Arabidopsis thaliana: one gene and its partner. The protein of the gene in region 2 interacts with the protein of the main gene of each other region in a pairwise test. Each region holds a gene or a part of one and is shown on either strand. Other genes may lie near its edges. The genes, in order: AtRZ-1c and AT5G25490.

The links.
Region 1: the proteins of AT5G25490 (region 2) and AtRZ-1c interact in a two-hybrid assay, tested with the Arabidopsis thaliana proteins (one large-scale study listed by BioGRID).

Annotation. Positions count from the first base shown.
Region 1 is NC_003076.8:1,189,947-1,196,259, reverse strand, and holds AtRZ-1c (RNA-binding (RRM/RBD/RNP motifs) family protein with retrovirus zinc finger-like domain-containing protein), read right to left. Parts: upstream 4,002-6,313; 5' UTR 3,912-4,001; intron 3,810-3,911; 5' UTR 3,800-3,809; coding exon 3,689-3,799; exon of another isoform or gene 1,766-3,688; coding exon 1,227-1,765; intron 1,130-1,226; coding exon 847-1,129; 3' UTR 501-846; downstream 1-500. Other genes in the region: KTF1 (kow domain-containing transcription factor 1), read right to left, coding at 1-191.
Region 2 is NC_003076.8:8,874,490-8,878,479, reverse strand, and holds AT5G25490 (Ran BP2/NZF zinc finger-like superfamily protein), read right to left. Parts: upstream 2,160-3,990; 5' UTR 1,944-2,159; intron 1,848-1,943; 5' UTR 1,842-1,847; coding exon 1,420-1,841; intron 1,232-1,419; coding exon 1,141-1,231; 3' UTR 1,106-1,140; exon of another isoform or gene 921-1,105; 3' UTR 576-920; downstream 1-575.

The DNA of each region.
Region 1 (6,313 bases), 7.7 Mb from region 2:
TCATCTTCGTCGGAGCTGCCTCCGTAGTAGCCAACTTCAGCTGATTCTTCGAAGAACTGAAGAACCTCAGGGTTTTTGCGCTTCTTAATCCTCAAACCTTCATCTCTGAATTCGACGGAGTTTTTCCTTTTCTGTCCGCCGGAATACGAATCACTACCGGCGACCTGTTTACCCTTTCCCTTGCGATCCATCGTCTTCTTCACGGTTAGTTTAGGGCTTTCACAATTGCATTTCTTTTGAGAGACAAGTAGCAGAGAGAGTGAAGAAAACGTTTATAGATGTGATTGTTTTCCGACTTTTGAGTGGCTTTTTTTTTTACTCTTTACTCTTTTAAGGCCTTTTTATTATCCAATCGATTTGGACTCTTTATTGTTTTAATTAATTTCTCAACTTTTCTTTTGTCTCTACAATAATATTCTGCTTCGTTTTATTTGCCTATTTGGTAATAGATTGAACTTATAGGAAAAAACGAAAATTTTGACAATATGAAGCAATATGTACAGTATACAAAACAATAAATCAAAATTTTAGAATAACATGCGGATGCCTAAGACACTCGTCTCTTGTACATTGATGATGAAACTAAAAAGGCTAGTTATGTGTGCAAGGTTTAACATTGACTGACGAAGCTCAAAAGTCATGTTATGGTCCAAAACAAACCAAAAATAATAAAGGATCAAAATACAAAGCTAAACAGGTCCGCAAACTAATCATATATAAATAAAAAAGACAAGTCTTTTACACCTATAACGCTTACAGAGATATTCATTACCACAAGCAACACACACGACTGAGTGTATAGAGCTCTAACCAAGCATCATTCTCACTTTCTTTCATTAATGTGTCTTAATAACGGTCAAAAGTGGACGACGACGGATAAGCTCCACCACCACCACTTCTGCTCGGTCTCTCATAAGGAGCACCGGCTCTGCTTCTAAACCCTCTTCCCTCCTCTCCTCCTCCACGGATGGGACCACCAGCTCTACCACCACCGTACCTGTCACTGCCTGCACTCGGGGCTATGTCTCTCTCAAAGGACCGAGCTTTGTCATAGCTCCCTGGAGGATAACGGTCTGATCCACGGCTGTATCTATCACCACCTGCAAACCGATCAGCCGGGGCTGCATACCTGTAAAATCACAGATAAGAATAAAGTTATGTAAGAAAAGCAAGTCACTTTGATAACCTTACAATAATCTGAGTTGCATTAGAAACTTGATTCTAACCTGTCACTGGCGTATCGATCACGGGGTATGTAGGCTTCTCTGCTGTCAAACCTGTCTCTAGCACCATAGCGTGCAGCACCGTCGTATCGATCATCTATGTATCGTTCGCGGTCCACATAGCGGTCACGGTCAGCATAGCGGTCAACACGTCCATCAGATCCTCCATACGCACTAGCACGTGAAGAAAAACCACCAACAGGTCCTCCACGACCACCACCAGCAGAAGGACAATCACGGGCCCAGTGCCCAACCCGTCCACACTTGAAGCATTCATCTTCACCAACACGCCCACCTCCACCTCCACCTCCACCAAAGCTTCCTTTTCCAGCAATCGAGTAGCCACTGTCTCTGCCACCTCTAGAGCCATGACTTTCTCCATCATCTCGCCCCAGTTTTGGTTCAGCTCTGTTCACTGAGATGACCCGATCACCAAAGTCCCTTCCATGCATCTCTCTGATGGACTCATCCATAGCGCGGCGATCAGCAAAAGTGATAAACCCGAATCCACGTGAACGACCAGTATCTCTTTCCAGCATGATCTATACACAATACACCATAAAAGCTGATTTCCCAAAGATATATGCATACGTGTAGCTAAAAGTGAGCAGAAGGGCAGTAGTAAAATGAAACGATTGCAAAATCTGAAAGATCATATCAAGCCCATGTGACATCAAGAAACACCCAACCGTTTTAAGGTTCACTGCATAACACTGTGACCCTGCTTTGTGTAGTAAATAGTCAATCAACCTCAACTTCAGAGCAAAACACAGTACAGATCCCCAGAAACTGAATCAACTTTAAAGTAAGTCTCCAATCTCAAGCAGAGGTAGCAGAAAGCACTAACAACTTTTTCTCAGTTCAAAATGAAAAATTCCTCAATTTAAGCCCTTAGATAGTATACTAGTTCATCCCTATTCTCAACAGCCATGTGATGTAGTTGCAAAACTAAAGAGAGGAAGGTTTACAGAGAAGGAAGTCAGTTAATTAGCTGTACTCAAAATTACTGATCAAACATCTGTTTCTACTCAATATGCAGATATCATCTGACATTGATCCAGCTGAAGTCATTCAGATTCACTGGAGCTGACGATTCTTTACATAGCACCACAACCCACAGATCAGAAATACAGAATTCCTCTCACACAAAGAGCTTTATCAGGTTTCAGAAACTTCCGGAAAAGATAAGCACAGAGAACTGGGGTTGGTGGATATAGAAAATGTGTGGCCCAGGCACAAGAATCATTTTAATTGGCTTGCATTAGAAAATTAGGAAATTTGTAAGACTGAAAAAGAAGAACAGAGAAAGGAAAAGATCAAATCCATGTAACTCCTACTAGCCACACATGGCAGGAGAAGCGAGATGAGGTAAAGCAAACAGCCCACAAGAAAGACAAGTAGGAAATCTGGATAAGAAAAGGATCACCGAAACCTTGAGATCTCTGCTTCAACTGAGTGTAATTTTCCGTTCTGCAGGTTCATACTACGCTGAAGAATCCAAACTGCTTGCACTGATGCTCAGGGTATGAGGAGAAAACGAAATCTTGCGGCAAGACAACTGAATGTAGACTGGGATTATCCAGAAATATGACTACACAACGTAACTACTGCAAGGAGTTCCTAAATATCTTCACCACCTGAAGAAGAACTGAGACTCTGGCCTAAACTGGGTAGCATCTCGAATTGACCACTCAAAACCAAATCAGGTATCCCAGGCCAGCAAACAAACATTTAATTACTAGTAAGAGCAGTAACAAGGAACATTATCAGGAAGTAAACCAAAACCCAGTCACGGCATACTTAGAGAACTCAAGAATTACACATCTCAATCATGAGTTACGAAAAAACAGTCATCCCTCCAGAGCAAAATAAAGAATTTCCTTGATGATAGAAGAAACTGAAGTAACCAGTTACGACAGTCCCAACCTTGTGAAACACATTCCAAAAGTGTGGAAATCAATTTGCTCAGAAACTCAAACACTACTGTATATCCTAAAATCTCAGGCAGTTTAATTCTTTATCACAGAGTAGTTTCTCAACTTGAACCATGTAGCTCTGATCAATATCATCCCTAATTCATCAATCTATAGTGTTTCAGTGATACATTACCAGCATCCAGGAAAAAAAAGAAAAAAGGGAAGATCAATAAGTGAAAAGAGGAATAATGCAAAGCAAGACTTTTCAACTAATCCTCAAACGTCTCTGTATTTCTGTATTATTAGTGTAATCTCATTTTTTCAAGTATATGTTTTCACGATCAGCTCAAGCAAATATACCACTTTCAACTTAAAACATTCCAAAAATATTCATAGACATGTTCAATTCTTATCACAAAGCTTTAGATAACAATCTCTAAATTTCATAGGACTAGTGCAGGCACAAGCTATGATAAACTCAAGGAATAAAAATAGTACCAACCTACACAGAGAAGAACAAAACATAGAACAAAAATTTCAAATTGGTACCTGACAATCGAGAATGTCTCCGAAGCGGCTAAAAGCTCTTTCAAGGTCTCTATCTGTCACTTCCGGCGATAAACCACCGACAAAAATCCTACTACCTTCTTTTGCAGCCATTTTCACTCGTCTATTCACAGAAAACAAAACAAATTGAGGTAAACGAACAAAAAAATCTCCAACGACTAAACTCGATATTAATTCTAGAATTACACGAATAGATTCATCTTACCTCTCTCTGAATCGTATTGTTTCCTTCGCCTCTCAAAATATCAATGGCACGAAGAAACCCTAAAATGGTGGTGGTTGAGGTACTACGCCACGAGAAAGGTACACTACAAGTGCCTAAAGGCTCTGATGATTAACAACAGAGGCCCAGACCTAGGCCCAAATTTCTCTATGGGCCCAAGTCATAAGTTTATTCTGTTAAGCTCATGGATCCACCAATGACCGACCAGAAAAATAAGTCTTTTCTTTTTTCTGTATACTATAAATACATCCTTTAAGCTTGTAATGAGGCAAAAAAAAAAACAATTATAATTGTAGTTGAGGGTTTTTCCCAATAAGATCTCTTGCCAATTTTTACTTGAAAATTTGAACATGCATATAAAAATTACATCGAATATGTTTTAGCTGATCAATATATATTGTTTAGCTTTACAATAAAATAAGATATCAGAAGCTTTATTCCACGTGAGATCCAAGTCACTATGTGTAGATGACCTAATCACGCATTACCTAGCTAATAAACTAACTTTAACCAGCCCACAGTTTTGGAGCAAAACAACCTATAGGATTTGTATATTTATCATCCTAAGACAGAACTCCGACTATCCTGGTACACATTCTTCATTTTTAAGTGTATTTGCACCTAGTAACAAAATTTCTAATGCAAATAAAAAAAACAGTAATGTAAATAGCACAATTTCTCTCTTCTTCTTTTTTTTCTAAAACGTACGTTTAAACAATTTTACTTTTCATTACAAGACGAATGAATTTTTGTAGCATAATAATTTTTATATATTTCCATACAAATCTTAGGGAGGTATGTGATGGTTTAAGATATCACATATTATTCCGGGCTTTACATGTGTGGCATTATGTATAAAACGGTGCCTTTGCAACATCATGTGGATAATTACTAGCTTAGAAGCATCCATGTTCCCATGTGGACAGATATGTACTTGACTTTACGGTCATTACTTAAGCAAGATGGTTAAATATGGCTTAAAATTTGGAGGTATACAAAATTTGTATGGCCAAAAGGCTTTATGAACGAATTCATAAACTGTAATTGTAGAAATAGTCATCCGCAAATGTACAAGGAAATCGGTTTTGTTTTTCTTTATAGGAAAATTTGTTAAACTAAGTTTCCTTTCGAATTACTAAAATGACTCTCAAGATTCGAGGGAAAGTTTTATAAGAAATGCATATAAGAAAGTTTAATTGTAATTAATACCACTTGGATTATTAATTTAATATAATGATCCAGTTGGTGCTTAAACATTTTTAAACCTAACCAATATTATTTTGTACATTTCGAGAGATTCCAACAAATTAAATAGGTCATATATGACATAGATCTATAATAGTATATACTGTTACACTTTGATTATTTGACCTAATATACCATCTATTTAATGTCATCAAAAAGTTACATCTAAAGATACAAAAAAAAATCATATACTAAATTTGTGTAAATAAGATTCTAAAGTATAAAATACAGAGAAATGGAATATAAAACCAAAAATATATATAATCTATGATAATGTGGACAGAGGCAAAGGTACCAGGTTGTCTGCCATGATATGGGTAGATAACTCATCTTCCCAAACAAAATAATTGTGTGCGAAGCTTTTTACTATTGACAAATTTTAATACTTTTAGGAAATTTTTGAGTATCTATAAATTTTGAATATATGGTTACAAAGAATTATAGATGCTAGGGTTTCAAGACGTATGTTCTAATATCCTAACCTTTTAGAAAACTAGTGGTGCACGAACCACATGTTAAAAACTTGATTTGATTATGTATATGACCAGGCAGTTATCGTAAATACATTTGAACGTAATTTCATAGTTAAGAGTTTGGAATAAAAATTACAGTCACAAGTGAAAGCCAACATTTTCGTTATATCTCAAGGCTTCTTTATTTTATTTTTTGTTTTTTTTTTTCTCTGTAAACCTTTCATTTTTCCCTCTTCAACGTCAAGTAATATTTATTCTTCTTTCATATAACTAAATTTTATTATACTACTCAATTTGTATTGTTATTTTAAGATCAAATTCACGGATATTTTATCTAGTATCTTGTTATTACTGTTACTGTTTTGACTATTCTTGTTTTTGTTTTGTAAATATAAAAAAGAATTAAATTTATCACATTTAGGAGAAAAGACATCACTTTCATTGAAAAAAGGAGAAAAATAAGTGGGATCCATGAGAATGAAATGCTTTTTTGTTGTACATGTACGTATAATTTTTGGTTTTTAAAGTGATAAATTTAGTTGTCTATATGTTTATTAATATAAAGAAGTAAAATAGTAATGCATAGTGGTGTTGATCTCTAATTTTATATAGGCTTGTGGCTTTTGATGATCTTCAGGTGAAAGTGTGGGAGACAAGGAATATCTC
Region 2 (3,990 bases):
TCTTTCTTACTTACATTTTGAAAACAAATTTTTAAGTATACCACCCATTACAAACAATTAAGGAAACGGTCATCGATCAGTTGCAATATTGTTGTTTATGACAAAACTTCATTGCAAAAATCTTCTTATGGGTTTTGTTCGACTGCTCGAATGTATGTGCGAAAAGATGGCCTTGAATACGCAATTTAATATATAGTGAAATCCGTATTTGTATTTAATTAAAATTAATTTTGCAACTTAATGTTACCAAGAAAATAAATTAGAATTCTAAACTAATTAATGATATATAACATAATTAATATTTTCTGATAACTATTCTCATTTTAGAGTGGAACTCATACATTTTCATTCGATTTGGTGGTAAGCTCATTATCACCAAGCCACATCATAATATGAATGCTCATGCATATTTTTTTTTGAGGCATTGGACAAAAGGTTTCGTTGTGGTCCATGCATCTACCCATTTCAAACGGTTACTAGAGTTTGTGTTTGGTTTAACGTAAAACTACATTCCTACTACAAATTATATAACAAAATTTTAATTGCATATATAATAACATTTGCATGCAATTTGGATTTGCGGCCACAGAAGAAGTTCTCAACAGCTCTCAGCCTCTCGTACGTTCAACAACTCAAGTGTTTCAAACTTAGATGAGAATCGTGATTGCGGAATCAGAAGGAAACAACTTTATCAGAAATAAGAATACATTCAAACAAACTTACATACTAGCTAGGAGACCGATATCAGAACAAAATGCTTCGGAAAACTCTCGACATGCTTACATTCTAACATAGGTCTGACTACTACGAGATATAAAACGAGTCAAATCTAAGAAATTAAACAAATCAAGAGATTAAGGGCGGTCGGTATCTTGCTTCGATTCTTCACCTTTCTGCTCTCCTCTAATGCTTCCAGAGTACTAAAAAAAATAATCAAAAAGATACGTACGTTAACGTTAAAGTACTATCGTTAGTGTATTTCACACTACTATTTAAACTTTTACGATATAATAAAGTTGTAAATGTTAACAAATTCTATCATCCAAATATATATGTCGAACTGTTTCTGATCAGAAGTTAAGACTATTGTTGAAACGAAAAGTACTTGGAAATGATGAAGAAGGTAGGAGGACTAAATGACTAATAGGGTGGTTCGGTGGCAAGTTCCTTTGGTGCGTTACACCTGAAACACTCTGACCTGCTTGCGAAGTTATGTTCGTTACAGCCTGACCTATAATATACAAATTAAACCAATCAGTTTCTACGATATGCATATACATTAATACAATTTAAACGGTCGTGTTTAGCTTACGTAAGCCAGCATGCATGTTTCTTTTTTGGCTTTAAGTTTTAACCATCAAAACATATTATTGCAAAAAAATAACATCAATACATAGAAACAATCAAACAAAAAAGTACCTTGGGCAAATCCAATCTCCAGATTTCCAAGGAGAACGGCCCGTACCACCACCACCACTACTGCTGCCGCCAAAACCAAAAAGGCCACGTCTCGGACCAACATTCATGTCCATAAACCCGGTTGTTGCAGCAGCACTTGAGCATGAAAACTCATCTTTTGCGGCACCACACTTGAAACAACTGGACCTATTGGCAAAATTATGTGTCCCACAATCCCCAAGGTTGCAATACCAATCCCCGGGTCGCACATCGGGCCCGGTGTTGAAACCGAAGGAGCTACTAACCGGACGGCCACCAAAACCGCTGAGTAAATCGGTACTGATCCCGCCCGGTCTAGGCTCTCTACAACGTTGGCATGAATCCCTCCTCTGGAAGTTGAGGTGGCTACACAATCTGCAGTTCCAATCTCCCGGCCTATTCATCTTCTTCTACAACACCATAGAAAATAATAATTAAGTAACAAATTACACAAAACTAAAGACATATGTATCTACAAATGTAACTTATATATATGTTATGATTACCTGAGGGTAATGGAAACGAAAAAGAGAGTTGAAATGAGTGTAAGAGCTTATGAAGGTGTTGTTGTACTCTCACAATATATTTATATGGACAAAGCAAAAGGCCCTTCCTTTAACAACCGGGAACATTTTTTGAAGTGAAATTAGGGTTTCAATTGGTTTTTACTTTCTTATTTTGCTACAGCTTTAATGCATTTCCCTTTAACATTTGGGTTTCTCCGTAAACTACGTTATTCCCAAAAGAAACAAATTTATCTATTTATATATATCGAGGACTTTAAATTAATTTATCATTTCTAGACCCCACTATTTTAAACAAAAAAAAGAAACACAAGGTTAAAGCTTTAGATATCAGCCGTTTTCATTTTGCGTCAGCTTCACAAAAGCTAATACTGGCAAATTCAATACCATTTACTTGACAGATGTATATATCTCCATATTTATCAACGTACGTACTTATTTTAAGACACCTAAATATTTTAAAATTAATCAAGACGTATTCTAATAGATTATTATAGTGCCAAATTATAATCCGAGTTTAAATTCGGAAGTGTGCATGCATGGGTTGTAAACGAACTTTTAATTTAAATTGAAAGATCAAAACAAAAATATGGGAGGAAAGTAATTTTAAAACACTAGTCCTAAATTCAAAGAGAAGTATTTACAAAAGAACCAAAATCTTACTGGTTGTTTATACAAGATAACAAACTAAAAAGTTTACCAGATTACATACCAAGATGACTAAAAAATATCTCTTTAATTAACTCTTGCTTTTAAAATGGTGGTGTGGAAATATAGATATGTAAACCTATATCTTTGGGGGCACGAAGGAGAGTGAATCCTATTTTATTGGTCTCGAGGTTTTATAACACTTGAATTGATAATGAATAAGAAGAACTAAACTAGAGATACTAGAAATCTCCGACTATATGGTAATATGGGTATATTAATATAGTTTTCTTGGACTTACTATATAATTTTTGACTAACATGTGGTTTCTCTATGAGACAAAATGAAATTTTCACTAAATTTCACAAACTAAACTAAAGCAAAGCAAAGAAAAGAAAAAAAGAAAAAAAAGATTCTTAGACCTTATTGGGACCCCAGTTCGTATATGCTTATAGATTTCTTGTTAACTGTATATGCACATATAGATTGACTAACGATGAGACAACTAAAGCTGATATATTCTCATTATCTATTTCGAGCATGTACCACTTTCATATTATCAATCGCAACTTCGTGGTATAACTTTTTATGTAGATAATTAATAATCACATGTATCTATATATTGATGGTCGATGGAGGAGGTACATGGATGTATAATATGCTCTTGTGTGTGTCAGGAGAAAAAGGATGTAGCATGAAGTAAAAAACTCTCTAAACTGTTAAAGCAAAAGTTGCATGGCAACAGTTTCAAGGAACGTATATGTTCCCTTAGCCGCGGAAAATTATAAACGTCAAAGGAATAACTTCTCTTTTCTTTAATTCAATTAGTCTTGTTACTAATATTCAAGTACATCCATCAGAACTTATTCGTTCGTGATTTTCAAAACAAAGACTTAAGAAAATCATGAAAAATTATAGATTAAAACAAAAACAAGAATCATTAAATGGGAGGGAAAAGGCTTTGAGGTTCGTATCTTGACCATCTACGTGTCCTTTTGATTCGTCTACTACAACTACAAGACAGTTTCATTCACTTTTTCTATTTAACCCTATGATTTTTATTTCCCTTACTATATATCCCACATACAAATTATAAATTGTCGTTTGTGGGTACACTGCAATCGCTTTTTTTACCGTCAAATCACCCTTTCCATTGTGGTATACTTGTCTCTCTAAAGTAAGAGTCAGCTATAAGATAATAAGACGAAAAATCCACAGTAAGATGTAACAGAAGAATGCCACGAATGACTAAAAGTTATATAACATATGAATTTATTTAACTTTCGAGATATATATAGGGCAGTAGAATACACCAGCAGTAAAAATATACTTAAATAAATGAAGAACAATATCTTCTAATATTTTTTCAATGTAAAATGTA